Linked DNA regions of Struthio camelus. The protein of the gene in region 2 interacts with the protein of the main gene of each other region in a pairwise test. Links are inferred from orthologs where the notes say so. Each region holds a gene or a part of one and is shown on either strand. Other genes may lie near its edges. The genes, in order: CD151 and GRAMD1C.

The links.
Region 1: the proteins of GRAMD1C (region 2) and CD151 interact in binary tests that used the Homo sapiens proteins (3 or more experiments, as listed by UniProt). The link is inferred for Struthio camelus from reciprocal best matches to the Homo sapiens genes GRAMD1C and CD151.

The regions. Positions count from the first base shown.
Region 1 is NC_090946.1:16,209,397-16,224,836, reverse strand, and holds the start of CD151 (CD151 antigen), read right to left. Parts: upstream 6,660-15,440; 5' UTR 6,550-6,659; intron 1-6,549. Other genes in the region: CRACR2B (EF-hand calcium-binding domain-containing protein 4A), read right to left, coding at 12,483-12,567, 13,236-13,312, 14,075-14,182. UniProt on the Homo sapiens protein: Structural component of specialized membrane microdomains known as tetraspanin-enriched microdomains (TERMs), which act as platforms for receptor clustering and signaling.
Region 2 is NC_090942.1:96,523,406-96,538,462, forward strand, and holds the start of GRAMD1C (protein Aster-C), read right to left. Parts: upstream 7,414-15,057; 5' UTR 7,354-7,413; coding exon 7,291-7,353; intron 7,212-7,290; exon of another isoform or gene 7,133-7,211; intron 6,763-7,132; exon of another isoform or gene 5,833-6,762; coding exon of another isoform or gene 5,794-5,832; intron 5,674-5,793; coding exon 5,545-5,673; intron 1-5,544. Other genes in the region: myelin protein P0-like, read left to right, coding at 11,459-11,525. UniProt on the Homo sapiens protein: Cholesterol transporter that mediates non-vesicular transport of cholesterol from the plasma membrane (PM) to the endoplasmic reticulum (ER).

The DNA.
Region 1 (15,440 bases), on a different chromosome or scaffold from region 2:
ACAAACCACGCAGGCATCGCTGCTGCTGCTCTGGCACATTAGCAGGTCACAGGTCAGTGAGGCCCAAAACATGAACCACTTCACACACAACAGAAATCCCTCCCCCGGAAATTCCTGCCTCTGGCCGCTCTCAGTCTCAGTTTTAAAATGATTTTGTCAGTGAAAGATCCAAACAATCTGTTATTTGTACACTAGCTACGTTTGTGAGAGACCAAATCACCAGCCTGCCAGGTGCAGCACAGAGCTGTGAATCTCAGCCCCTAGGAGCTCAAAATTTAGATACTCAAGACAGAGTCAGGGCAGGCGTTACCAGCCTCATTTTCCATAGCGAAGCGATATACTCCGGCAGAGCCAAAAGCTGAACCAAGACCTAAAGCCTCAAAAATACGTAACATCAGATTTTGTGGTCTGCCACTCCACACAGAGACACATCTCAAGGTTTTAAGGAAGGGATTTAGCCTGCTTTCTAACGAGACCTTTCACTGAAAGCAGTAGGATAAGGATACCAGTGACTACTGCGTTATGGATTTGAACTGAGGGCCTGTGATCCCACTGATGGTATTACTGACGGATCAGAGACTACACTTTGCAAAGCGTTAGTGCCAAGAACAGGCACGTGCATAATCTATCAGTGAGCCAGGCACTAAGAGCTAAAAGCCAGCAGAGCAGTGGAAACACACCCTGCTCTGACATCATCAACACTCAGAAACATCTAGGCACCCACCAACATAATTCAACAGAGTGCTGACTGCATCACAATACATCTGATGTTTTGGCCCCCAAAACCTTCTTTCCTTCTATTAAAAAACTTTTCTGTCCTTCTTTCAAAAAACCTATTTGCAGGTGCCACCAGTAAGCCTCTAAATGACACTGACTTCCTCCTGCCTACAAGAAACGCTCCCATTCTCCCACATAAGGGCAGATATTTTTCCAGAGTGAGGTATTTTCACCTCGCTCATTTGTAAAGTACAGCCAGATCTTTTTCCTACAGCATCTCCAGAATGTGTTTGTTTCCTCTCAGCCTGCCCCAATCCTATGGGGACAGAGACATCTGGGAAGTGCACTGCAGGTTTCAGCCTAACTCCACAGCTTTTTAGGAGTGTGGAGCTTTCACTTTGCAACTACAGATCTAAGCACAGGCACCTAGATGGAGCCTCACAGCTCTTTCCACCGCCCTACCACCTCCCCACCACTCTGTTTATCTCTAGCATAATCAAGAGAGCTGTCCCTTGGAAAGCACACACAAAAGGAAAGAGGACTGGGGCTGGAAGAGTGAACTTTGCTCTTTCTCAATTTAGATCTAGTACAGGCAATAGATAAGGAACAGCAGTCAATGCCAAACACTTTATGTCACCTACTTCTGGCTCAGTTATTCCTTATAAAGCCTCATTACTGCTGCCAGGATCAACCCTTTGAACAACACCCCTTCCTGCACCTCCTTCACTTCTCATTTCCTGCCTTTCTTAAGGATGTTTTGTCTTTGCTCTCCCTGTGCTGCTTCCTACTTCCTTTGCTCTTCCTCAGACACGCTCACCTCTTACATACACACTCAGCAGTGCCCGCGGCAGATGCAAAAAGCAGAAAAACACCATGGATGCAGGCACTATCCTGCCAAAGAGCCCTCTGTTAACCTCCACAGAAAGTAATTCCCGACTGTCCTCCTTTATCCCACTAGAGTGGTATCCTGCTTCCACTATGCCTAGAACTGCTAGCATCAAAAGCATGCACAAAGTACACATACATAGATATATAAAAATAACTTCCATGAAGACCCCAGCTGACATGTGTCACGGCAGCTACCTTTGCTTACATCCCTCTAAGGAGCCAGCTACACTTTCAGTCACATCTCAAGCTTATTTCACTACTACTTGAAATGCAGCTACAGAACTGCACAGCACTTTTACAGCAAGGATGGGAGAATCGTAATCACCCACCAGCAAGAGGAATTTAAGTTAAAAACACAGACACAACCAGTCATACTACAATGTGGCCAAGACCCCAAAACACACCTCTTATTCCGGTATGAAATAGCAGAGGCGCAAAATAGTAACTGTCCTCCTAGTCCCTCTTTTTCTCCCTTAAGTCCCTTACTGTGCAGCAGCCGGGACAGGGGAGTACTAGCACAGATCGGATTCATTCCTCTGCTGCCAGGCTGTGGAGACCACGGGCAGAGGAGTCTGACAGGCAGGAGGCAGCAGGGCCCTGGCAAGAGCTACGCTAGCCAGCAACGCTCCTGTTGTAGTGCTGATACTTGCCAACCGGGTTCAGCGGTGATGAACCCTTTGGCACCATCGGGAAGGACAGTGTGCAATGCTTTTGGCAGACTCATCACAATACCTCATCCGTATGCCGTAGATCAGCTGCTCTTTACCTCACCTGCTGCACTGAGGTTTCCAGCAGGGGAGAGGGGCATTTCTCCCAGACTGAAATGGGGCCACTGTCCTGAGGGGAAGCTCTGCAAAAGCGCACACGCAAAAAGGAATGGGAAAATAGAGCCATTTTACAGTGACCCTATTCACTTCATTTTGGCTTTGTGGTGGCTGCCAGTGCACGCAACTGCACAGGGAAGAAGAAAATCACATTCAGGGTTTGAAAGGAAGGATGAGCAAGTGAGACGGAAGGAGACCTAGTCTTCATCTTCAGGATTTTGGGGGCTTTTAAACAACCACAGTGACCAGGTTTCTGCTCCTCACAGACAGGGAAATTTCAGCCTTTCTCAGCTTCCAGGAGGGTCGCCCCACCTCAGGCCTTCCATAACCTCAGTTGTTGGTGCATGTGCTCAAAGAGCAGCTGGAGATAACCTCGTGTCAAGCCCAGGAGCAGACTTGAGCACAGAATAGAGGTGATGAGTATGAGATGTTCTTTTCATGAGGTTTAAAGAATAAGATCGACAAGATAACTGAGGACAACAGAAGTAGAGTGGGACATAAAATGAAAAAGCTCCCCTTTTTTGCTTTTTCAGGATCAGTCAATTCATCTTTTATCCTTCTGAGCTTCTGTCTTAGTCAGAAGGCAAAAGGAAAACACACAGGGACAAAAGAATTGCTTGACAAGTGATTAAATCACCTAGAAATACCTGACAGGCTAGTTTGCTACATCCAGGTATGCAGGGTGGTAGAAGTGTTTAGTATATTATTTTCTTTCCCTAGGAATCTTTGTGGAGTCCCATAGACACATGTAACACATGCATGTCTCTTCCTTCTATGCACAAGAAGTAGCCCAATGCAGTCCTTAGAGAGGAAGCCAAACTTTGCAGAAGTAGTGAACGTGCCTGGGGCACACCCCAACTAAAGGGCACCCAGCACAAGTCAATCCCTTCAAGGCTGTCTCAAGAGCAAGGGAATTGTTACCTGGCCTGTGTATGTACCTGGGAAACAGTTACAGATTTGAACAACAATTATTATTAGCTGAGGATAACATAATACGCCTCTCAGGAATTCCCTATGGGGGATAGATAGCACTACATCAGCCACCCCCATCTCGCTTTTTTACTTGACAAAGGAATATAAGCAGCTTCTTTCCACCCCCTTGCTGAAGAATCTCTCACACCCATCAGCACAAACTTTAGGAGGCCACACTGAAAATATCCTTTGCAGAGCCAAGGTTTTGACCGCAAGTGCCTTACTGTACTTGAAGAGAAGCAACACTAAACGTACATCAGCGTAGCAGTAGACTAGCAGAGGAGTATGCCAGCACTCACTCAGGCTGGGTGCATTATTTGCAGGCTAGGGGAAGGCGGGGGAGGGGGAGGGTGGGAGAAGAGAGAAATACTGCAAACAAGGAGGGACAAGATGGGCAGTGCCTGGCAAAGGGAGAGCAGGCGCCAGGCTGCACTAGCGGATGTCGCTGCCACAAGTGCTTGCATGCATCAGCAAAGCTGGCGACACTATACAGGGCTATCAGGGCTTGCCAGCCAGCAGGACTGAGGCGAGACGGTCCATCTCTCCTGTGCCATACTTCAGTCTGACAAAACAAGCCGTGCTTTGCTCTTAATAATATCACCTGGCAGCAAAAGAACAAGCAATGCTGTACAGTGCTGCTGCCATTCATCTCACACAATAACAAAACAAGTATCATTGTGGAAAGCCCTGGAAGGCAGGAAACATGGTCATGTTTATCTCAAACGCTGACTTACGGCGAATGACTCTGCCTCAGTTTCCTGCCCGTTCCCACATTGGCATGACACTTCCATACAAAAGGGTTGGGAAGCTTAAGTGTCTGTAAAAAGTCTTTTTAGGTTGGTATGCCTTGCTAACCCAGGGGATTACTTCTATATTAGATCCAAGAGAAGGAGAGCCACAATCTCAACCAGGCTGTCACAGTTTATCTTAGCGCTCTGCTCTCTGCACGGTCCTTAAGAGCAAACCCCCTCCTGTAACAGGCCTGCCTTGAGACAAGAGAAAGTAAACTTACAGTGGCCTGCCTTGAGACAAGAGAAAGTAAACTTACAGTGGCCTGCTACCAGATGCCTATAAAATCTGCAGTTATACTAAGAATTTTAGACTCAAGTTGATGTTAAAGGCTAGTAGACTTCTACAACACCTGCTTTACTATGAATTTAACGGTCTCCTGTCTACTAGCAGCCCTGCTTAGTTAGCAATATTATGTTAGCACTTAATGTTGTCTGTGGTCAGAATCAAGGTCCAAACTTGTTGGATGCTGGGACTTCTCTGAGACAGTTCCTTTTCACTTCAGGCTGCAACATCTCAGAAGAGGAAGGTGTTATGGTCTCTTCACCATGAGCAGTCCTTTTTTGGTCTGAATAATGACAAGTTCAGAGACCCTTCTGTTTTAATAGTACCCAGACGGTATCTTGTCATGCCGAAAGCTTCTCTAACAACCTAGATGATGGCCTCACAGATGGCAAAGAGACACTTTTCAGCATAAGGGACTTGTCTGCAAGCTGTTTAACAAAACAGCTGCTAGTGCAGGTTACCTCTGATGGGTGATGTGTTACCTCTGATGGGTGATGTCATTTTAATTAACCCTTGTGCTAGCAGACAACTTAATATTAACTCTCAGAGCAAGAACTGAAACAGTATAGAGAGAAGGAGGAAGAGAAGTAGGGTAATTTAAAGGATGCTACAAATTAGCCTGAAATAAAGATACATAATTGCTAAAACCCAATAGGCTACTGCAACATGTTGATGGAAAAGCACTAGAGAAGAGTAAGGATTTTTTAAAAACAGTTTCTGCTCTTCATAAGATGACATGGAGCAAGGACTAATGGGAAAGGTGGCAAATGATATTATGCTGCAACAATAACCCATCGCCAGGTCTGATTCAGCTTCCAGAAAGCAAACAAAAGGGAACATAGCCTGGATTTTCCAGCAAACAAGGCCTCTCTCCCCCTCTTCTGCCTCCAACAGTTCTACGAGTACAAAGGCCATGCCTTACTTGAACAAAAAGGAAACATAGTTGAACACAAGACAGAAATAAACAGTTTCACAAGATTAGGGCAACATTCAGAACACCTTTCTAAAGCACAGACTGCACAACGCTTCTGAGCTTTCAGCAATAAATGAAAACACCTTTAGAAAAACGCAAAACCAAAACCTGGGAGGAGTTCTAAAAAGTGCCCTGAGTCTTTCAGGAAGAAAAACAGCCCTGCAACTGAAGGGCCAGAGCTGACCTTCAGTGATCACAGGCAGGTACAGAGAAGCCACCTCACTGCTCCGTACCTCAGCACGCCATTCGGGAGGGAGCAGGGCAGGGGAGAACGTAACAGCGCGGAAAGGAAGCGGACTCTGCAGGTGCACCAAGCACACCCACGGGCAGCCCTTCGCTTCCCCTCTCCCAGGCTGTACCGTTACAGGTGGGCCGATCACACAGCACCTGCCTTCAGCCTCGTCTCCCTGCAGCCCGGCTCCCCGAGCTGCCGGGCCATCCCGGCAGCACCCTCAGAGCCGCACGCGCGCCAGCGACCCTCCGTGGGACGCACCGCAGACACGCTCGGGGCGCGTCAGCGACTGAAGGCAGCGACGCCAGCCCGGGCCGCGCGCCGGGCAGCCGTGGGTCTGCGCCACGCTGGGCAGGCGCGCGCCAGCTCCCAAGCCATCTTCGGACAGGCAACGAAGCGGCACCTACGTGCGGGAGGCAGATGTTATTAGCTGCTATTATTAATTATTATTAAATACCATTAATCGTTGTTATGTTAATTAGTATTTCTGCTCTTTGGTTGGGGGGGGAGGGGGTTCAGTCCGGTTTCAGGTACGAACCAGCCCCGTCCCCACAGCGCGACGCCCTTCCCCTCAGCGCGGTCCGCTAACGGCTGCGGGGGGGGGGGGGGAGCGTGCGCGCCCCCCTAACGGCCGCGGGGAGGGGGGGAGGGGAGCGCGCGCGCCCCCCTAATGGCTGCGGGGAGGGGGGGGCCGCCCGCCCCGCTCCAGCTAACGGCCGCCCGCGCGCGCCCCCCTAACGGCCGCGGGGGGGGGGGAAGGGGAGCGCGCGCACCCCGCTCCCGCTAACGGCCGCGGGGATTGGGGGGGGGGGGGGGCGCCGGCCCCGCCCGCCCCGAGAAGCCGCCATTTCGGGGACGCCCCGTCTCACCCGTGCGCAGCCGGCGGAGCGCTCCGCGCTGCCTCACGCCGCGACCCGCCTTGCTGTGGGGGAGGAAAGCAGCGAAGGAAGGACGGAGGGAGGGAAGGGAGGAAGGAGGGAGGGCGGTGCGACTCGCCCAGCCCTGCCCAGGGGCGGTCCCTCGCCGGGCGGGCACCTCCCTCCATATTGCAACGAGCGCGAGTTTCAGGCTTTCTTTTACGCTTCAGAGCTGCTTGTTAAAAAGAGTTTTCCACGAAACAGCCTGGAAATCAAGCCTTGACCGGCGCATCGCCTCATCCTCCCATTATCTCATTTCAACTTCTGTCCCAATGCCTCCGCGCCGAGAAAACAGCTCCGCGCAGAGACAGGTGGCAGGGGAGGGACCCTGGTTCACTGCCCTTGGTCATGAGGGACCACAGGAGTGGTCTCAACACGCAGTTTTGGGGGGGTGACGGGAAGGAAGAGTTGAGATCTGAGCAGGGAGGGAGGGAAATGAGCAGATTAGGACCCCCTGGGTGTTTGCCTCTCCTGCCCCTCTTCCCAGTCCCGCATCGCTCCGTCCCTCCCTCTCTCACAGGGAGCAAACAGACTAATAAACTGACACCACACTTTTTCTAGGCAAGTCAGCCAAGCCCAAGAAGCCACGTGTGGACTGTGAGGAGAGACTCACTCCACAACAGTTTTGTTGTGCATTATTTAGACATCATCCAGTTTACAGGGAACCAGAGAGGGCACTGGGGCCCCAGAAAGGCTGAGAGAAGGAAGGCTTTCAAAATAATAGCGGCCACGTTAGACCAAAAGCAGTAGAGAAGAGCCTGCTTCACACAGAACTGGAAGGTGCAAGAAAAAAATCCAGGTATGAAGTGAAAACAAGAAGGCACAAAAGTTCCATTTTAAGTATAAGCAGCATTATGAAAGAAAAGGAGCACAAGGGGGAAAGAAAAGCCCACTCCCATCTCCTCAGCCTGCTGGGAACCTAGCTGGGCTTTAGCTTAGAGCCCTTGGAGAGCCAAGCGATTAAACAGAGGTGACTCAGGCAACTAATCACACATAGATGCTTAGAGGTTTGCTCAGATTCTCACAGATAGCATGTGGCAGGGCCAGGAGGCCAAAAATAAGAGAGACATAGGTCCCTACTCTACCCTGCTCTCCTCGGCAGAGCCCGGGGCAGCGGCGCTTGGCTGCCTTCTTCCTGTGTCCAGGGTTCTCACGCACAAACAAGAGAGACCGTAGCTTCCCACTTTGGCAGATCTGGGTCAGCAAACCAGCATGGTCAGACAGCACTGCTGTTCTGTGTGTCATCTGTGGGCCGGGTCGGGAAGGCAGAGGGGAGGTATACCACAAGACCCTGCTCCCCCCAGCATATTACTGGGGTAGCCATGGACCCAGCAGCACGGTCTCATCACGCAGGAAATGGTACTGCCGGGCTTTTCGGCAATGCTTTTGCCCTTTGAATGCGCTCTTTGGTTGCTGCCTGCTCACCTGCCGGAGCCACTGCCACCACCTGTAGAAATGCAACTTGTGTTAACATTTAGATACGTAGCCTTTGCCTTGAAAAAACTGACTCTACCTGGCCAGTTCTACGGGACTAAGAAAAGGCATACAGCTACTCTAGTGTTTGCAGGACCTGGGCCTTATTAAATTGCGTGGCTTAATGAACACATAAAGCATACCTCGCAGGCATGAAGAATCTGGAGTCTGATTATTGTAGTTGTGCAACTGAAGTATGAATGTGACTCATAAGCAGCTAGATAAGTAATAAGCAGAATGACTGGCTCAGAGAGCTAAACAGTTCAAAACTGCACTGCTATAGATCTACTGGAGAAATAAATGGACCAGGAGATATCTTTAATACTCTGTTTGGCTACATAGCATGAACTGAACACAAGGTATGTTTATAATTGGAGCACAGGTGCTCGTTCACTATCTATGGAGTAAGCAATTAATCAAGTCAAAAGTGCATGAAAAGGACATGAACAGAAAGTGGTAATAGGACAGAAAATAATCCAGGAGAGACTGCAGGGTCCCCATAGCAGGACAGGAACGGATTAAATGCATGTAAGTGGAAACTATCCACTGGCGTTCGGGCTGCTGGAATAAAGAAACTCAAGTAGCGCCACAGTGGCCAGCGCATCTGTGTAAGCGGCTGTGTGCTGGCATGCCTTCGGGGTGCCAGCGGTGCCACAGGAACAGGCTGCCCTGGAAGGAGCAGGACATGCTCCCGGAAAGCCCACGAAGAGCCGGATGCATGCACGTAACAGCTGAGGGATGACGCGAGCTTGCGCTGCCCGTGCACCCTGGCTCTGCCGTGCTGCTGCCTGGGCCTCCATCCTGACAGGGAGGTGGGCGAGGTGGGTGTAAAGAGGCTGTGCTGTCTCCAGCGTGCTCAAGTGGAGGCGACTGCAGTAAAGAAAACAGAGAATCAGGATTCTTGTTTATCCTAAGTGAGGCTTTTTCTAGTAACACCAGTAATTCTACTATTTGACAAGCTGGGTATTTTTCCCTCTAATCTCTTATCCATCACAGTTACAGGCAGAAGAGAAGAAACTTCTCAAGCCTTCGGGGTTCCTTGTATTTGTCCTGTGGGAAGGTTTTAAACAACGCTGACTTAATATTCTCTCTGGAATCCCATTTTTGGCCTTTCAAAGAGATGCTGTCAGGCTAATCCTGTTATGCTTATCCCTAACATATTAACATGAAAGAAAACAAGCAAAACTAAAGGCAGAGTGGGTTCCCTTTGCCTCTGTGTGAAGTTTTGGGGGACTCTGGCTGCTTATTAGAGCAGCTGCTTTTTTCTCCTCTGTCCCTGGCTCTGACTGTATACGCAGCTGCACTGTGACATGTGCCAGGACAGATTTCCCAGACTGTAAGAGGAGTGCCTTCTTGTGATACGATTTCAAAGTGCCTTACAAATTATGTGCAAAGAGTCACCTGTCCACCAAGAACTGCAGCCGATACAGTGCAGGAATAAGCCCCTAGGCAGAGTTATTTTTACATCCTGTCCTAGTCTCATACCATCTCAGGATCTCATCATTATCTGCTTTTATTTATTGCTGCTGTTTCCTGCAGTTGCTTGCAGAGGATGGCTGCTCCCAAGGCTCCCATTTGAAAGCAGGAGAGATTCTGACAAAAAACAGAAGGACTTAGAAAAATTAGGAATTTTGTGGAAAGCAGTTCCTAGACAAGTTTGGGTCTGTTATCAGAATGGTTCAAATACCAACAGCATGCCCCTCCATACTGAAAGCGTCTAGGTTTTCCAACAAGAAATTCAAACATTCTGTGGGGAGACAAGGGAAGATCCCTGTCCTGTCCAATGTAACACACACTCTGGTGCTTACTGTTGTCTCAGTGCAACCTGCTCAAACTCTGTGCCACCCCATCACAGCTGAAAGAAAAGTCCACCCTGTCCTTGCTAAAAAAGAAGTTAAAATGAAGTACCTCCTGTACCGGTAGTCAGTTTACAGAAGGGGAAACGAGCGATAATTTCTCTGGTTGAAGATGCAGAGATTAGTTCTGTAACATCCAAACGTATCTAATTCAGCTGGAACTGAGCCATGGCACAAGGATACAGAACAACCATATTCCTAATTCCGGTGAGAAGGGTACATGAGATATTATTAAATATATGTCTAGTTCTAGAAGTACAGACATAAGGTGACAATGTGCCTTCTCTGAAAGCACTACATGGCCCCAAACATTTGGGAAGCCAGTTCTCCTCTCTGCACTGGCTTCCCTGATGAGCCAAACTCCAGCTGCTTTAAAGAGAAAACAACAAAACAGGATGAATTGCTCTTGTGCTGCCCCCAAAACGAGGGTTCCTGATCAGCTTTTATAAACCTCCTGTATGTACCACCAGCAGGGACAGACAAGTGATAACATCCATGGTCCTTCAGAGCCACATTGACTGGAAAACAAGCCAGGTCATCACTGAGCAATCTAAAGATTACAGGTGTTTTCTGAGAACAATAGAGAGGATTTTTCTTGCCAAACATATTTTTTTTTTTGCAAACAAAAGCAGTTCTGGCAGCCTGGCTGGTGCTGTGTATAGCATATACAGCCCTGGTCCCTGCAGGACCTCTTCTAACTTACTGCTTCCTGGTCTTTGAAAAGTGTTCTTGCAATTAAATCCACTAGCTGTTCAACAAGTCTGAAACACAGCCAGTCAGCAGTAAGGACGGACGGGCTTATTATCTTTAACTATTCCTTTTGGTCAGGAATCCTAACTCTTCCAGAGAGAAATTTCCTCTTTCCTATCAGAAGGAAACTACACAGGGAGGAATCATGGAAAATCTTTGTAATGCTGACAGGCTGTAGGTGACTCAAAGCACTCTTCCTGCACGGGATCTTCCCAGAGAAATCTGGGCAACAAACAGACGCTCAGAATTGGAGTCTGAGTAATTGCCTTATCCCAAGAGAGGAAGGACAGTGGATAAATATAGGCGTTCTCTATACCATAAGGCTGAGCAAACAGTTTCATAGCTGCAGTATTCACATCTTGCACCCAAGATTTCAAAGTCACATACAGAAATAGGCTCCAGAATAAAGGGGACAGGGCATCACAAAAAGCTCACTTAGTCCCATAAGCCTTTAGGGTGACTGAGCTACAGCACACAGAAAGCATCACGGCCCAAAGAACAGGGCTTCATGCACAAGCACAGAGGCAGCGGCAGCTATGTAGAGTGTCCCACAGGGTCAGACCAGCTGAGAGGTACTCATGTGGGCCCAGAGACCAGGCAGCCGTTGCTATCTTATCCCTCACTTCCCCATGCTTTGCCCCGCTTCTTGGTGACAAGCGGGACCTTTCCCAATGGGCACAGGTCCAAACTCTGCTCTCGCTCAGACCCTTTGCCAGGAAGCAGGTTATTCCACAAGGTCACTGCAAGGTGATTAGGTACGTTCTACAGCTGGGGCAGCTGCCTTGTGCTTCCACACCAAGCACGTTTGAAAGAATTACAGTCAAGCCAGAAAGGTGGGATCTGGGCATGACCTCTTAGTACTGCAGAGAAGACAGCTCCTAACTGCTGGAGATTTTTCAGGAAAGAGTATGAGAGTGGCAGGAAACAGGCAGCATTCAGCCTTAAAGCAGGCTCTGTATGGCACCCCCGGTAGGTACTGCACAGCTCCTGCAACAGGTGGTTACAGAACAACAGCACGTGTTTTATAAGGCCACCTGCGAGCCCCAGGGCAACTGCTCTGCATTCTGTGAACAGTATGAGAGGACAGCGCCAAGGTCCGACAGGGTAACAAAATGAAGAAAGCCATTGGGATAAATAGTTTACTCGATTGTACTGTATCCACAAATGGAATCAGTTAACTGCAGTGTTAGCAAGTCAAACCAAATTTCCCAGTAAACAGAGGGGGCTGGATCCAGATCCTATGGGAACTGATGGAGCCACTCCCGTTGATCTCAGCAGGCCTTCAGCTGGGCTCTGCAATTACAGAGCCAAGAGGAGATGCTGCTCTTGCAGAGAGATAGGTCACTACCTAGAGTAAGCCTTAATTTAAAATAATCTCTTTATTTCTTACACAATTGAACAATAACATCATCTAATTAAAACAAAGCCCATGATGTCCTCCGCTCTCTGCTGCTAGGCCACATCTTCGCCAGACAGAAAAGGAACAAGACTTCATCATTTTATAGAGAAGCAACCACTACAGAAAGAAGTCCCAATTTGTGCCATTAACCAATACCAGCAGAGTTCCTTCAAAGAAGCAGAGGCCTCCCAGAGATCAGGGCTCTGTGCAACAGTGGGAAATGGAACAGCGCAGACAATATGTACATTTTGTCCTGATTTAGTCCCTTCATATTTCCAGCTGGGGAAAACTTGCACCTTCCCCAAGTCTCTGCAGAGCTGATACCATCAGATTCAGCTTGCTGAAAAGGAGCCCCACCTTCACGCACCAGAGTTGGCATGAGTCTCTCGCTGACTTACTGATGTGCCTTAGGTGCAGCACCCTTTCCTCCTGCTGACATCTTCCAGCTGCAGGGCAGTCTCTCTCTGCCTGTCTTCCTGTGCTGTCAGCAACCTGGAATAAGCCGCACAGATCAAAAACACAACCTGGATACTGAGATCTTCCTGTCAAGGCTTTTTTCTGTGCCCTTGTATCCCCCATCAGCCAGGGCCATCGAGGATGTTGAAAGTGACTGGCCAAAAAGCTGGGCTTGTTTGGACACTGGGTAAACAAATCACACACAGAAAATAAGCATGAATTTGCAGGAGGGCAGGACCAGGGAGAAAGACTTGACATGTACAAGAAGAGACGGCATGGCTGTCAGAGCACCAGACTGGGGCTTGAGTGGTCTATGCTTTATTTCCAAGTTCCCTGACTGATGGCAGGATCCCAGGACGCTCACTTCACCTGACTGGGTCATCCCCTGCAGAGATAGGGCAATAAAGCACACCAAAGGCATGTGCTATGGGAGATGTGATTTACCTAGCTACTAAGTAAATCATCCCAGTTAATAAACAGCTAAGTCCTGCTGTGAATTTAACAAGATGATGCAGCAGGAAAGGAAGCAATATGAGAAAGCAAGAGGACATTTTTGTTACAAAATTTCAAGGATGCTTAATATAGTAGGGAAGAAAAACCATTACAGGTGCATACAGATTTCAAACTGAAAATTCCATCTTAAAATCTGGAATATTATACAAAGCTTTTCTGACTAAATATTCAAATTAAGCCCATTCACTGACCTGGCCATGTGCAGCATGGGCTCCACGATGTTATAGCCAGTCATCACGCTGCACTCGTAGAAGACAGCCTTGTATTCCTGCAGAGAGCAGAGCAAGGAAGGCCCAGTGTCTGCTGCAGGCTCCCCGCACTGTACACCAGCACCCTCGGGAGCCAGCCCTTTCCCCCTGCCCAGCACGCTTGCAGGGGTCACCTCCCTTTGCTGGGAGCAGCTGCTACCACTGTGCCCCCCACTGGTGGCACGGGCGAGACCCCACGTCCTGCTCACCTTCGTGGGAACATGAGGTGGTTTTTCAGCAATGCAGGGCCCAGCTGGAGCATCCCACAGGGAACGCTGGGTATGAAGCAAGGAGCGACACCATTTCCACCCAGGGTACTTGGATTGTCTCACGTTTGTGCTAGAGAGCCCAGCACATGGAACAACTCTGAGACCCTGCCCTCCTTCTCCCACCCAGCAGGTGAGCGGTGAGGCGGCACCGGGCAGGCAAGCACAAGGAGCGAGGGAGGACTGTGCAGAGCATGCATTAGATGGGAAAACAAATGGGAAAATGGCCATGGATGTTTCCCCCAGAAAGGCTGAGCATCACTGTAAGGAGGCACCCAGCCTAAGCAGAAGCACGTGAGCATTCCCCAAGGGCCAGTGTCTGCCACTTGCTGGCCACCTCATCCTCCCTGGTACCAGAGGGACCTTGGCACGCGTTTGCATTGGAGAACGGGTGGGGGTGAGAGAGAAGGTACCATATTCGGAAACGGCTCCGAGTTCAGAAGGGCTCCCCTCCACCCAGGCTGCCCTGCTCACAGCCGCAGGGAGGCCGTAGAGCAGGAGAGCACAGAGTCACACCTTTGCCAGCCTTTCGCCCTCCACCTCGGGCACACTCCGGGCCCCTCTCAGCACAGCATCCGTTTTATTTCCAAGTAGAAAGATCACAGCTCCATCCTCGATACCTTCCTGCAAAAGGAACAGAGCAAAGCACCCGTGAGACTCGTCTGAGGGACAGAAATATCCTGGAGCAGATCCTGTTTCAGCCTGTGTAAACAGGAGCTTTGCCATTGACTTCAGTGGCAGCAGAATCAGGGTCCCTGAAGGAGCTGCCAAAATATTCCCTTCTGCTCATTAGAGACCATACCCTAGGGATTTGTGGGAGGAAGTCCAAACTATGGGAATATATTCCAAATGTTTGATGCGTACAGCTGGGGTGCCTAGAGAGGGGAGACAGGACTTGGTTCAAGTTCCTCTCTGGGAAATAAGAAGCCTAAAGAGGAGCAAATTTGCTCTACTAGGCTACTGGAAATTTAAGTTCAGACAGGGTTTCTTTTTAAGCTCAATAATTTTTCTTCAATAATTTCACCTGATGTACTGTCCCTGAACTCAACTGTCCTTAGCTGAAAACCCACTGGCCAAGCAGGCTAAGCAACTTCCAAGCAGAGACCCTTTCTTGCATAGGGTCTCAGTAGCATCTGTTACTGCTAGATGATTTCTGGAGCCCATTACCTTACGTAAAACTCCCTCTAGTTCCACTGGCCCACTAGAAAATCACCAAAGGACTGCAGAATGTGATTCAAAATTATTTCCAAACTTAACTGCCCTGGATGATCTACAGTACCGAAACAGCTTAAGCTTCAAAACAAGATAAATGCGAAGGTAGAGGGAAGGAAAAGGGGAGAGATATTTAAAGGTTACAGATTTTAGACGCTTTGATTTTCCTGTGTGTTCAGTTTAACCTTCCTGAAGGGAGCCTGACTTTCAGAGGTCAGTTATTTTTGAAAATCTTAACCTTTATCTCTTAGAGACTAAAGAAATAGCTAACCATTTTTTCCCCAACAGGCCTGTGAAAGTTAACACTAAAACCCACCATCCTTTGCATATTCATTTCACTTTTTGCTTGACCTTTGAGACTTAGCACAATTAAAAAAACACTTGACAATTGAAACTCCTGACAATTTCACTTCAACTTTGAGTCATCTACACACAACATATCTAAATTATACAGATGAAAGCATTTCTGTCTCCCCTCACAGAGGCAAGTCACTCAAAAATAGTGATGAATGGTTTTTGTTGAGAGTTTGGGAGTAAAAATAGGATGAAAAGCAAAACTGTAGAGAAGTGGACACAGTCACCAAAAAAAAAAAAAAACCAACAGTTAAAGCTACAGCAAATGAGGAGGAAAAAAATAAATAGTTAAGAGAGAAGCTGTTACTAATGTTAC
Region 2 (15,057 bases):
ATCACGTATCTTCATTCACTCTAAACAAGGGACAATACCTTGAGTCCTAGTAGGTGTGAACAGCAGAAAACAGAAGCTGAGAAGTTGTACGAGCAAGCTGAAGTCCTGAATGACTTCACTGATCATTAAGTTGGGGGGGGGGGGGGAGGGTGCAGCAACAAATACACAATCTGAGAGCATTAGTGAAGTTAAAGCTCATAGATGAGTATTACAAGCTTAGACTGTATTGGTTCCACAAGTAACTTCAACAGAAGAGCACTACCTGGAGGGCCTACTTATGTAACAGTGATTTCTAAAACATTGCCGATATCACTAAGATATCTTGACATAACTTAATTAGTGCATAACCATCTGCTATACAGGATGAGACAATATACAAGTTCCAGAGTAGCCATTAGCATAAAAAGGCTATACATCCTTGTCTAGGAAGTTCTTATGTTTTTCAAAAGGCAAGTATATATCCCAGATCTCCTAGATCTGTATGAAGGATTTGGGGGGGTGGGGGGAAGGAGTTGTTTGTTTTTTTTTTTTTTAAAAAAAAGCTCCTGGAGAATTTTCTACCCTCAGTTGCTGCAAATTATTTCATTAAAGGTACCATTAAATAGAACTGTAGTGGATGCATTTGTTTATCCACCTTCCCCCCCCCCCCCCCCAACAAAGGGATGTAAGAAAGTGAAAGCTGACAGCAGTCGATCTACCCCAGTGCTCAGTTTGCAGCTACATCAAAAGCAAAAAAAAAGAGATACACCACATGAATATAAGCAAAGAAAAGAAATTAACCTAATAAGCCATGTAATTCAGACTAACCCTTGAACATAAGCAATTTGTCTTTTTTCACCCTTTTAAAACGCTGCTTCTATGTAACTAGTGTTATCACTAGGGCTAAAAAGCCCTTACTCTCTAGAGATTCCAGATAAGTAACCAAATAACCAAAATATACCAGTGTTACAAGTATAGCAACAGCTGTTTATATCAAAGTTATAAGTTATTTTTTCTTTAAGTGTTAAGTGTGCAAAAGATTTTATTCTCTTTGCAGACCCATAGCATTCATCTACTTCCTATCTTCCTTATTAGACTGCTTCAGGCCAGCAAATAAAGAAATACATAAAATAGGAAAAAAAGCTAAAAATTCCCCTCTGATGTAACAAACAAGCTACACTGCTACTCTTTCAGAAGAGTTTCTTCTGAAAGAAGATATCAAGTACGCAATATATAAGATGAAACAACTGAGAGAGGGCCTTAAATACTAGCCTGCCCCAACATAATTTAACAAGCCCAATAATTCATATTCCCAGAGTAAATGCATATTCCCAGTTCATATTCCTCAGAAAAAGGTGGAAGGAGCATTCAAACACCTCTAGATGCAATTGGTATTTTATCTAATGCTCACCCATAGCACTCCTGTGCCCCAAAATATGTCAACTTATATCTGGGTTGTATTATCTTCTACCCATGTGTGTAGAAGATTATACAATGTGTGTATAAGATTATATACATTGCAGATGGATATATATATATCTGAAGGTTTGAGTCATCAGTTCTTCATATGCCTAGCATATACATTCTCACATGCTCCCACAAGTTAGCCCTTTGTGTAAATCAAATCCACATTTTTTGCCATCTTCCAAAATCCTTTTCCATATCTTACACAACCTTATTCATTCTTATATTATTAAAATGAGAGGCCTCAATTCTTTTCACTTTTCTCTGCATTATTTGTTTGGATCCATTGTACTCCTTCACACTGACCAATTCTTTAAACTGCCACTCCATTCAATTTTTTTTTTTTTTTTAAAAGCATCTTTTACTTTCTTTCCAATACTTCCTTGGTATCTCACACTTCCAAACTCTTGAACATAGCTTCCAGAGTTTTCATTAGCATCTTTTCATTTTCCGAGATATCCATTTGATTTCAAGAACTCTTTCCTTGTACCACTTCATGAAGGGAAGGAGTTTTAAATTGTCTTGCTTGCCAGGAGACAAGGTTTCTACTGTAGGCTATTAATTAAAAGAAAAAGTCAGCCTCCAGACAGAATGTCCTCACCTTTGAGGCAAGGATCCTTTTCACTAGCTTCCTCAAATGCCTTTACCTTCTTCATTATACTAGGTGTCACATAAGGTTTTCATAGGTTTCTTCTTCCAAAGATATCAAATCTAATTATATTACAGTATGAAGACTGGAAGGACAAAAAAAATGAACTGAAAATCTTGAAATACAACTTCTAGGTATAACTGTTCAGTTTCACCACACCTTTGATTTTATTAATTTCTAGTTTTAGCATCTGCAAATAGAACAATTTAATCAAAAGTAGATGCAAGCTTCGCTGGTTCCAATAAAGAAGGAAAGCTCCGAGAGCAGGTTTGCAAGCAAGCTTTTCTTCCCCCTCCGTAAAGGGGAAGAAAGTCCAGTTTTATCCAGTTCTAGTGAGAAGGCTTCCAAATAAAACTTAAAAATATCCCCAAAACAACATTTTATAGGATATTCATGAAAAGGACACGTTCAAAGAAACACTGCAAGCAGTACCAAGCCCTGTAAATCTTGTAAAAGCAATTAGTACTACTGATTAAAGAGTTGCTTGCACGAGTAAAGAACAATTATTCATTCTCAAAAATCCTTCAGGAAAGCTGTCAAAAGTATTATCATTTCAGAGATAGCAAAAATTAGACATAGCACAATGAACTGTTTTTCTTTTTTTCTTCCCTGTTCCTTTTTTGCTGCCCTTCACTTCTACACAATCACCCTATTCAGGGAAGAGTTTATATCCCAGAGTCTCCCAGCCCAAGTTCACTGCTAACCATATGCACTCACAGCACTTACTGAGCGTTCACGATACCTGGCCTGACTTTCAGGGGCATGGCACAACTGCCTACTCCCACTCAGATCCGTGAAAAATTGAAGTCAAACCAGTCAGGCTCTAACATCTACATTTTGTTTCCATCATTGGATAAACTTACTTGGTACTTCACAGTACTTCCTTAGAAGAAGCTAGTTCTTGGAGTAGGCCAAACAATATTCAGACATACACAGCCTGTCAAAGCTAACCACCCAGGCAGCAAAGCAGACATCCGGACAAGATCGCAGGCTAGTGTTACTGTTGTAGCAGCTCCTCAGTCATACTGACTTAAGAGCAGGAACGAGCGGAACAAATCCATACCTGCCACAGGACACTAAGATCATCCTTGGTAAATTGTTAGGGACACATGCTTTGTCTATTAGAACAAGCTGCCTTCTGTGTTATCACCTATACATTTATTATGACTCAGTACCTAGGGAATTCTAATGATTTGTCTATATACTCAGCAGCTGCTCAACCATGTAAGTTATTAAAACATATTTTCTGTCTAGAAGAGCAAAGAAAAAAAGTCAGTGACATAACATTTTAATTAGAAAATTCAAAGATTTTAATTTTTGCCTTTAATTTGTGACATTCTGCCTCTTGCTACTGCTACATTCAGTCCCCTTGAGGCTAAGGGAATGTCTCAATACCACAGCTTTCTATAAATAAAAGCATAGACACACTGATATAGGTTTTTAAGATTAATCAATGACATAAGCAGCACAGTTAGCACTTTAAAAGCCACAGCAGTATCTCACAGAAGGCAAGTGTTTACATAATTCCTTTGTTTTAAGTACAAGGTCATATTTACACAACTAGATAAACACGAACGACAAACAAATACTGAGGTTGTTGAAGTACAAGTTACAGGCAGAAGGTAACCTTTTTAATCACACTAGATAACACCTTACATTTTCACAGTAACTTTCACTGCACCAAAGAATCCCAGTCCCTCTAGAAGTTACAGGCATGCATCATTACTGGAAGCAGAAAACAGCACTATGAACACACAATATACCGCACTGTATATGCATGTCAAATACTATCCGAAGAAAATTTTAACCTTAGGCATGCATCTCAGTTCTAAAATTACAGAGTCAATAGCACAGCTAGATCCTACACATTACTCTTCACTGACTTTATTTTAGATGGTAAAATATCCTCCTTGCCTTTCCTTGGCAAGTTCGGCAGACTGCCGGTCCAACAAATGGACCCCAAGATCTAAACAGGTTTCATTTCTCACATGAACTACCCTCTGCATTAATGGTTGTAGATGTACCTTTGAGAGGAAGCCAGTTTACACAGTCTAATTTGGCCTCTAATGAGAGCATAGCTGACAGTTACTATGTCTGTGCAACCTGATTTGCCATCGATTCAGGTACGCAGATGCAGCTGGGCACAGGCTGAACAGCTGTGCCTAGTCTTTGCTACTGCAGGAACACTGGAGAAACAATGAATGATCTAAACGCTCCCTAGCAACGCAATTCTAAGATCTACTGAGATACCTTTGGGCCTCTCCCTTTTTTATTAAGTCCGGGTTACTATTGTTTAGTTTAAAAGTATACAAGCGTTCTGTGGGAAATTTGAGCTAGGACCCAAGATGCAAACTCAACGTTCTGATCATTAAGACATACACTTAGCTTTAACAGGACGGACAAAAAAAGACATAGAAGCTAGATTTATAAATATGGAGTCGGGAAATCTGATTCCATAGTTCTATTCTCAGGACTGCCACTGATTCCCTTTGGCCTTTGCCAAATTACTTATTATATGACTTAATCTTTTGCTTGGTAAGCACAACGAACACACTCTGGTAAGCTCATACGGACAAGGATACGGTAGTCCAGGTTACATTCCTATGCACACACTGAAGCATGCCAATTTACTCTAACGTCACATGATGCAGAACATGAGTCATTTTGTCAAACTCTGAGGAGCAGAGCACTTGATCTTGTAAGAGGTTTGGGTTATCCTGCCTGTGACTGTACATACGAGTGTTCCCAACTCCTATCTAACAGCAGCAACCCATCCACTAACCTAACAGCAAAACACACCCCCTAAGTCTACACTCATAAATATATTTACCTTCTCTCATGGCAATGCAAAGAAAACACCAAAAAGCAGCAGAAGAATATTTAAGACAGCGCTTATTACGATACCCTCCACACTTTGAGTGAGACAACATCCCCGAGAGGAGAAAAGTGAGACCCCTCCTCCCGCTCTTTCTAGTCTCAAAGACTACTCTCTACATAGGAGCCGTGAAGCGTATTTCCTTTTGAGGAAAGCACATAGGCTTGCTTGACCAAAAGCAGACACTAGGAAAGCACATGAGAAGAGCTATCCAACAGTAAGAACCAAAATTCAGCTCTTACTGAGCAAAAGCATCAACAATGACTTCCTAAAGGCATAGAGAGACATTGCATAGGCTAATAAACTACACAAGGAAGTGGGAGACAGGACTAGGTACCTAAGTCAGAAATCCTGCCACTAACTTGATACATGACATCAGGTAAAGAGCTCTGCCCCTCTCTGTCTCAGCTTACGCTTCAGTAAAGCGATAATGATAATTTATCTGCCTCACAACACGGGCAGGGAAGGTGTTATTAATTAATTACTACAAAGCAATTTGAGAACTATGGATGTAAAGCTAGCACACGTACACATACAAAAAAACCCAACAAATTAGAAGAAAGGTAAGACACATTACCCAAAAGCTCCAGTCAGCACTCCAGCTATACTGAGCAGGAACCTGCATTTTCTCTGTGCACGAGCCAAGAGCCTCCTCTGAATCCACAAGTAGCTGGCTAACAAGACCATGATCCACTTCATGAACTTCCTGTGAACAAACAAGCAGGGTATGTAATTTGACAACAGGGAAGAAAGGTGCTGAAATAAGATTACAGTTAATCCATTCACCGACTCTGTGTTAGATGAAAACTTCAACTGCTAGACTCACCAAGGTATATGCCATGGAAATGCTTCTCACTGACGGCATTCCCACTGATTTTACTTTTTTTTTTTTTAATATACATATACAGAGTATACTGTATTTATTATTTACAGAGCATATTACTTGCACAGCAGCATATGAACTTGCACATTGAAACTGCGCAGGCACTTAGAGCTAGAATGGCGTTAACACAAGACATCAGTACATGACACGCAGGACAGCTCTGGAACCTAAGGGACTTTCCAAGAGCTGAGAAAGGTCACGTAGATCTAACACCTGCCAGAAGACTGACATAAGATGTGATGTATACAGACAATATTTATATTAAGTGGCAGCTATACTAAAAACTGTTGTTAGAAAGATACAAGCAACACACATCAGAGGCAAATAGTTCTGTTAGTATCACTTGTTATAAAAACCTTGTCCGCAGCACTTTCCGTTGATAGACACGGATTTATTTCACAGGGCAGATCAGCCTTGCTTTAGGAAGGGAAACGGAGCCGCAGGAAGGGAAAGACATTTCCCCTAAGTCACCCAGCAAAGGGGCAAAACCCTTCCAAGGTCCTGACCAACAACTAACGCTGCCTAACGCGCCAACAGGAGACCAAAAACACGTTTTGAGTTCAGAACGGCATCCAAAAAAAAAAAAAAAAGAAGAAAAAAAAATCGAGTTGAGGCCGACCCCGGTGGGCCAAGGCGCAGAGCACATCCCCAGCGCCCTCCTGGAGCCCGGCCCTGGGGACACCCCAGGGCAGACGCTCTAACCAGGCGCCTCCTCGGCTCAGAGGGCACCAGGGCCAAGGTGGGAAGCAGAGCTGCTCTCGCCTGGCTGGAGGCGTACTCGAGGGTCTGCGGTGGGAGAGAGAGACCGACGCAACGCCTCCCAGGCGCTCTCCCCACACACAGCTGCGGGCCCGCTGCCAACACCCGTTATTTTACCTTTACACCCCCCCCCCTTACCCAGCGCAGCACTCGTCAGCCCCAGGACACCCTCCCCACCCCACTGAGCGGCTCCCCCGCTCCTTCCCGCCCCCCCCGGCGCCACAAGGCCCCGGCGCCGCTCCGGAGGGAGGGGAGGAGGGGGCTGCCCAGCCCGGCGGGCACCGGTCGCCCCCTCCCGCCGCCGCCAGCGCCCAGGCCGGGCCGAGCGCCCCGAGCCGCGGCCCCGCCTCGCTCGCAGAGCCCCCGGCGGCCGCAGAAGCTTCCAGAAACGGGGCGCTGCGGCCGCAGGTTTTTTTTTTTTTGGGGGGGGGGGAGGAAGGAAGGAAAGGACGAAGGGCCTCGCCCCGCTCCTCCCGGGGCGCGCAGGGGAAGGAGCGGCGTTACCCGGCTCCGCGCCACCTACCTGCGCAGCCCGCCGCCGGCCGGCTCGCCCCGGGGGGCGCAGCGCGGCGGCGACGGGCCAGCGGCTGGGGCATGGAGGCGCCCCGGCAGGGTTTGAGGAGAGCGGCGAGGAGGGGGGGGGGGAATGAAACAAGCCCGGAGCGGGTCGGCGGCGCTTACCATGGAGGGGGGCGAGGGCGGCGCGGCACCCGCTAACTGCCTCAGCGGGGCCGCGGCCGCCATTTAAAGGGGCGGGCGGGCGGCGGGCCCGAGGTGAGGCCGCGGCCGGCTGCCGGGGCGGGCGGGCAGGGCAGGGGGGCAGCGGCCGCCCTCGGCTCGGCACGGCAGCACCCCGCGGGGGGAAGTCGGCAAAGAAAATGCCCGGTGTGTCGGGTCCCCGCCGCCCGGAGCGGGTTTTTACGGCCAACAGAGTGAGAAGGCTTCAGCCCAGTTCAGCCCCCGCCTCCGGGCGCGCTCCTGTCTTTCATCTTTCCCTCTTCTTCTGCATGATCCTATTGAAATAAGGGGAAAATGATTTAAAAAAAAAAAAAGGAAAAAAACTCAGCTTCAGTCATTGCTGTTCGTGGCGGTTCAGTGACGCAAAAGGAGCTGATCACAGGCCGTTTTTTTTTTTTTAACAAGTCTCTTAAGGAGCCAGTTCTTCTGAGTAAAAAGTCCTCAGCAAATAAGTGGGGGGGGGGAAGGAGATAGACAAGATCGCGTCCCAATGTCACGACATTACGCAATCCCATCAATCTGACAACGGGGCTGGGGGTGGGGGGGTAGGTGGAAAAGACGTTTCAAACGCTACTGCAGAGAGCCACCTAGAGGGCCAACGCGGGCAACGCCGCCAAACCAGGGTTTTCGGGACACCCCCTTGCTCAGCAGAGCTGCTCTCCCAGGACCTCCTCCAGGTGGGCTCCCGAGCCCCGTCGTGTGCCTGCCATTACCGGGCCAGGAGCTCGGGTTTTACTGCTCTGCCCTCCCTCCCGCCCCAGTGAATGGCTCTACGTGTCCCCACGCAGGGGGGTCAGCACGGGCGCCGGGGCTGCCCCCAGGAAGGGCACGGCAGGGAGCGGGGCTGAGGCCTGCCCTCCGGTCCGGGGTGTCTTCAGAGGTGAGCAACCAAGGGAGTGAGATAAAGGGAACAAGCGGTGCGGGGAGAAAGCAGATTGTTTTTTCACACGCCGTTCCGCTGGATTCTGTAATTAACACATCTACATCTGTCTATCCATCTGTCCATTTATCTATCTATCTATCCATCTGTCTATCTCACACACTTAGCCTGCTTAGAGAGGGAAGGCAAGATTTCCGCCCTCTCCGTTTCAGGGAACTCGTCTGAAGGAACTCAAGCTCTCCGCTGTAAAGCTGCTGAGCTGTGCCAAATGGTTTGTCAGGGGTGTGAGCACCCCAGATTTTGAAAGCTGGGCTTCAAGTTCAACGCCGCCACGTAGCGCCCTTCAAATTAGTGGACCCAGCTGAAACTATGATGGCCTGCGCACTTGTGCCCTCCGGTCATATGAGAGGAAATAAAAGAGCACTGTGACATGACAAGAACATTTCCATCTTGCTCACCCGTTGGTTAGTAGGCAAGGGGCAGGGATAACGGCACTGTGGAGGGAAGGTACGACAGGGAGGGATGCAAAAGGCCTTGGTGGCATGGCAGGTATGGCAGGGCAGGGGACACAGCCGCTCACCTGGAGCATCACTTCTTTTAGCATGGTAAATGCAGTGCCCAGAGCCAAACACCGGGCTACAGAGAGCCAGGGAAGTGTGGCGCTACCGGCGGGAGGAGCAGCTGAGGGTTGGTGCGCTGGGTCAGGGCTGCTTCGGATGGCTGGGGCACTAGGTGCCCGTTCCCCTCCGGCTGCCCAGCCTCCCGCATCGCCCCAGGTCCCGCCGCCCCCCTCTCCCGTCCCCTCGTGTCGGGCTCCCGAGCGCTTCCCCCCACCGGGCCCATCTCCCAGCGCAGCCCTAACCTCGCAGCAGCACTGCTTTCCCCGCCGAGCGTGGAGGCTGTCATCGGACGAGTGGTTTCTCTCGCTGCTGCCCCAGAAAGCGAGTTGAGGCCCTTCCTGAAGGGGAAGCGCTCAGCCTCGCACCGCACCGCTGCATTAGTGAAGGTGACAGAAGTCCCCCGGAGGTCCCCTCGCAGCCCTGGGCCCAGCCACGACAGTTGTAACGCTGACAACTGCAAGTCCTTGCATTTTACAAGAAGGTGCTAAAAAGGATGCACGTTTTATTTCTTTTTTGTTGTTTGCTTTCTTGATTTGGACCGCTGAAATTCAAATTTTTTCAAGCTTTTCTCGACAACACTCAGGGGACAAGATTACTTTTCTTTTTATCCCAAAGGTGAGATTCTCTCTTAATCACACTGTGTTATCCAAATGTGAGGAGCTTCACATTCAAATGATGACTGCTAGCAACACCAAAACCCCTTCGTATTGCCTGGCTTAGAAGCTGGCTGGCCTGACAATTTTGCTCGAGCATGTCCTATTTAATGGAGGATTCACAAAATAATTACTATTACAGGATGAAATGAATATAACCAGCAGCTGCAGGAATAGCTGCAGTTATGGACACATCAGGACACACTTAAGGATTTTTTAGGACAGCACCCAACACTTGATGTTTAAACCAAATACTGTTTGCAACTCCTATGATCTAATACCACCTTCCCATGCTGATTTCTCTGATACGCAGTCATGGCCAGTGACTAAACCATTCTCATTTCGCTTGATCTGCCAAGTACCGTTGACTTGACTGATTATTCGCTCTTCAAAATCTTGATTGTTTTTGACTCCTACAACTCATTTCTTTCATAGATCTCGTCAATATTCCCTTCAGAAGAGCTTCATGATTCACCTTTCAACTTTCTGCTGAAGTGCTGTGCTGCTCTGCTTTTGGTCCCAATTCCCGTCTTCATACATACGGTATTTCTGAGTGATCCCTTCCTGGTAATCCCAGGTATTCCCACACTTCCAACCCATTTAAAACAGGGAAGAAATATTTGCCTTTTATGTTCTTTAGCTGTCCTCCCCTCTCGCCTACCCTACTCTCCGATACAGGTGTCACCACATCAAAGCTAGAGCAACAGATGGTCACTCAAAGAATGTGTTGTGCCTCTTGGTGTCACCTGGTCAGCAGATTTTTGGAAGCCAGACGTGGAATTTCTTGAAATGGTTACTATGGAGCATCCACACACAAAGATGCAAATCACAGAATTAATGAGCAGAGTATTCAAGAAAGCCATACAACGGTAGCATTGTGGCAGTTTTCCTCACGGTGGGTTTTTTTTTTTGGTCCTTTTTACTTCTAAGTACAGGAACAGAAGTAACATGCATGCCTCTCCTAACAGAAATGTGCTTTATTTGTGTTTCAATGGATGTGGAATGGAGTCTTTACTGGATATTAAAGTATAATTTGATTTATCTGAAGGGTTCTGTAAGATAAGCAAAATCATTAGATAAAGCCAGCAGGCTTCTAGAAAAGTCCACCATAATCCCTAATCCCGTATCTGAGGGAAGAGATGTCAGGCAGCTAGCTGGAAAGGGCCGTGCTCGGTACAGCTGTAACACTGCTGGCAGGGCTGGATGTTACAGGCGGGGTTTAGGGCTGCTGGAGCTCTTCCCACCAAGGAGTGTTGTGTCTGTACCTTTGTGTGAACCCCAGCTTTCACCTCTAGAGCACACAAGTTAGTTTTGCAGGTAGGCCATCTGTTTATTTATGTTTTGTCCTTCACCCGGGTGGCATAGACGACCTTTACTTAAATAGAGTTTTAAGTAATCAACTTTTGGTTAATCAGCATTTGTTCTTTGCTGGGAAAAAAACCCACAAAAACTTTGAGGATATATTTTAGGTACGTACACAGGGTGAATATAGCCACAGAGAGTCTGAATTCCCGTAGCTTCCTTTACGGTCCGTACGAATAATAGGAGCCCAGCTGCTCAGAAAATCAAGCCAAGGCTCTTTCTTGTCTCACTTTCTCTAGTGGGGGGTGAGCAGCAGAGAGGTCTTCTCCTGAATACCTGAGTATTCTGTACTCAGCCCAAAGTTCTGGTTTATAGGAGGCCGAAGCGAAAAAGGAACAGATTATCCTCCCTCTGCTCTTAGAGCATTTTCAGCATCTTCATCAGAACAGCCCCTGGGAAGTCATTGTTGTAAGTTAAAATGTGGCTGTCATCCAGGCAGCAAGCAGAGCACTGTGAACTCAAAGCTGCGGTAACTTTAGTAAGTGTGACATTCACTGGGCAGAACGTGAGCTCCTGTTGCAACAACACACGCATACTTTTTTGCCCATACTACTGAAGAGAGAGGGAAAGACAGTGAGGCCATATACTTTAGCGCTATGAGCCAGCATTTTGGAAAGCTCGGTAGGGCTGCAGCGTCTTCACTTCTCTTCTTCTTACTGGTGGGTGAGTACCGAAAAACCTTCCTTAATTTTAAGAAATGTAGCTTATTTCCAGAGCTTGGATTGAGAGGTTCTTTTCTGTTTTTCAAAAAGCCACTTTCCCCTGAGGGCTTCCTCAGGATGCAGGAAAACTATATATCCAGTGCTGTACACTGTATTAAAAGACTGTTTTGTTTGTAGATACATTCCTGTATAGCTAATAAAAATGTTTGTTTGAATTGGATCCCCAGGGTGGAATTTATCTTTCCAGAAAGAGTGTGTTTGCCTGTCTTTTTCAAGAAGAAAGGCTGCGTACCATCATTAGTAGAAGCTTCGTTTCTCTTTCGGTTTTCTGACGTATTAGGAACCAGTTATCCTCACAAGGTAGTTATTCATGTCCATTTGTGAAAGTCTATCTCAGCTCAGGGCAAAAGCCATATAAATAAAGATGATTTATGTACAGTCTTTGATCGCTCAATCATTGACAGTTGGGAGCTGGATAGAGCTTGTAAATCACCCTCAGGGCACAAGCTGAGTGTGAAGTTGAGCTCAAAAGGCATCCAAAAGGTGGTCATTCCAGCATGAGAGGATTTTTTGTGGGTTGGAAGTTGAGTCCTGTTTACTGTCAACCTCTCTTCCATCTACCGAGCATGAACAAAGGGGAGGAGACACAACTGGAAAGATCAAACTTTGCACTGAGCTCCAGCTACCATTTTGGTTCCCCGACGCTGTTGGCAGCTGGCATTACGGGCTGCGCTGGTTTACTCCAGGGACCAAAGAGTAAGTTAGAGCTTCCAGGACTGGGAGAGAGCACATATATATTTTATCCTTTGATTTTTTTCATCCTTACCTCCTCCAGCCTGCTTTGTGTGTTTCTCAGTCACAGCCACAGATATGGCCTTATACAGGAAAGTATCAACCTGCAGATTATTTAAAGGATTGGCCGATGGGTTGGCAGATGCCCTATTAGTACTGTTAAGCGTGGAGCATGTTGGCACGTTGCAGGGAGTCCCAGAGAGCTTTCCCCCCTCATGGCTGAGAACTGGCCTGAACTACTGGCTTTATGTGACAATGACCTATTAGATCATCTAAATGTTTTTCCAGGTCAAGACAAGATCATCCCTGCTGTATTTCTCAGTATTCTTTCTAGCCAGCTTTTAAGTGCTTTCACCAGAAAAACTCATCTTCCTCCCCATTGGGGAACTGAGCCCTACTCCCCACATGACAGGGGACCTGCACATCACTCTACTAATGAAGTAGTTGACATAAAAAGGTCTTTGAAGCAGAGTCAACAAGGCATTTGGCATGGTATACTCCCAGATGCCAATAGGATAAGGGCACTGTGTATTTAAATATCAGTGAAGTAGTATGTTCCAGTTTTGCAACTTCCTCCCCCCCAAAAAGGAACAAAAAAAAGACATATAGAGGCTATGCTATGACCTTCTCAGTGGAACCATCAAACAGAGCGGGCACTAAAACTTTGCATTTTAATTTTCCTAATTAGCTGGAAGTTACATGATATGTATTGAATCAAAGATGTGGGATGACACAGAGACAAGGCCAGTTATTCTATTGTAGGAGGTGGAAATAAAACTCCTGGTGAATAGAGACAACATCAGAGCATATTGTTTCTGCGCTGTTATGTTCTCTATGCCACTAAGTGACTGTGTAAAATGATACATCAGTAATGATACTTTTGCATCATTAAAAGTAATAAAAATCGTAATTGTATTTCTGGGGGTGTGTATTATAAGACTGGAATGCTTATAGTGGAGAAGAAGGGAAAAAAATGACAATTAAATAGAAATTTTGTTGCCTTTCCTTGAAAACAAGCTAGCTGCTTACTACTCTAGCTAAAGCAGCAGTGTCCAGTGAAGATAATGGTCAATGAACAGGGATTTTAAAAGAGTATTCATTACAAAACCTGCTCAAATTCATGCTAACAAATCACCAAATATGTCATATCGGAATATTTGATGCACAGAGACTGTTAGTTGTCAAACTACCTCAACTTTGTCGAGTATTTCAACTACTCTTTGTACTTTGTCAAAGTACCTTGTCAAGCTACTTCAACCTTTATGACTATTGAATACATTATACTGTAATGTAACTGGAAAAGGCAAAGTCTGGACCTCAGTTTCCCCTGAGCAGCTCCAGTGGGCTCATCAGTAAGATTACGTGTGAACCTGAGGTTATTTCATCTGGTGTCTTTAGTTAGGGCTACTCATTTTAGGGGACTGCACATCCAGAACTACAATCGTATTTGGGTCCCTAATTCTCAGGCATCCAATTCCCATGGATCAGGGTTCCGGGTACTAAGCCAAAATTCTGACTTTGAGGCAGTCAGCTGGTGCCATCCCTTCTCCCCTCATCTGTTTGGAATGAACTTGGGGGGTTCCTGTGCACCCCTAAACCCAGGGAATTTGATTAAACTTGGATTTTGCATGAGTTATATAAGATAGGAGACTTCCTGTGACCATTTCTTGCGTTTTCAACGACTCAGGGCTTTGATGGGGCAGAGCTTTCTGAAGCTGATTCTGGGCCGGTTGAAGTGCAGCTGTTGCCTCTCAGCTCCTCCATTCAGGTGTCTGGGCTGAGGTGGGGAGGTTTACAGACCTGGGAAGAAAACTCTAGAAATTTCTCATTGAATAGCGCTTCCCAGACCTTATTCCTTGTTATGTTTTTAGACTGCTGGCTGACACAGCTCCCTCCCATAGGTCTCTGTCGACTGCATGCAGGGACTGGCTTCTACTTTGTCCTCTGTGGGCGCACAGGGAGAAGCGTAGGATAACCAGCTCTCCTCCTTCTATTCTCCCTCATGTTCACGCTGTGACCAACATCCTCGCCTGGCACTGGAAAGTCATTCTTGGCAAAAGGGTGGTGCAAATTGTGACCATCTCAGGAAATCGTTCTGTTTTGGCAAACTGGGGGGTTTCTGATGAAAAAACCTTTTTGTTGAAAAATTGCCAGGTGGTTTGGGTTTTGGTGGTGCTGCATGTGACTTTCTGTGGGCACCTCTCGTGAGCCGTTTTGGAACAGCAGGCATGTAATGTGCTGTGTTCTTGCTAGTTTCATAGCCAGCTTCTACTTCCTAAAGTTTTGCATCCATGGGTTATCTCTTGTCTGATATTTCAATCTTTTTATAAGGCATCTAGAACAACTGGGGCCCTGCTGTCTGTCAGAAATTACCAGTGCTACTCCCATACAAGTCATAAATAATAATAACTATGAATACAACTGTGATTTTGTACAGAAGCATGCCTGGGGGAGCCCTTCAAGTAACTCTCAAACAGATCATCAAGGGTTTTGATTTTCCGTGGCCTTGGGACATTTACCGATGAACATACAGAGGCTATTGTGATTGTAAAGCAGTACCAGACCCAAACAATAGCATTTCACACCCTTAGAAAGGCTATAAAAGGCTCAAGACAATGGAAAATTGAGATCCTCACTGTGAAATGGCCTGGAATCCTTGAGAAGGCACCAACTGGTGTGAAGGGAGGCTACTTTACTTAAAGAAAATGAAACAACAGAAGAAATTTTCCCAAGAATTGGTT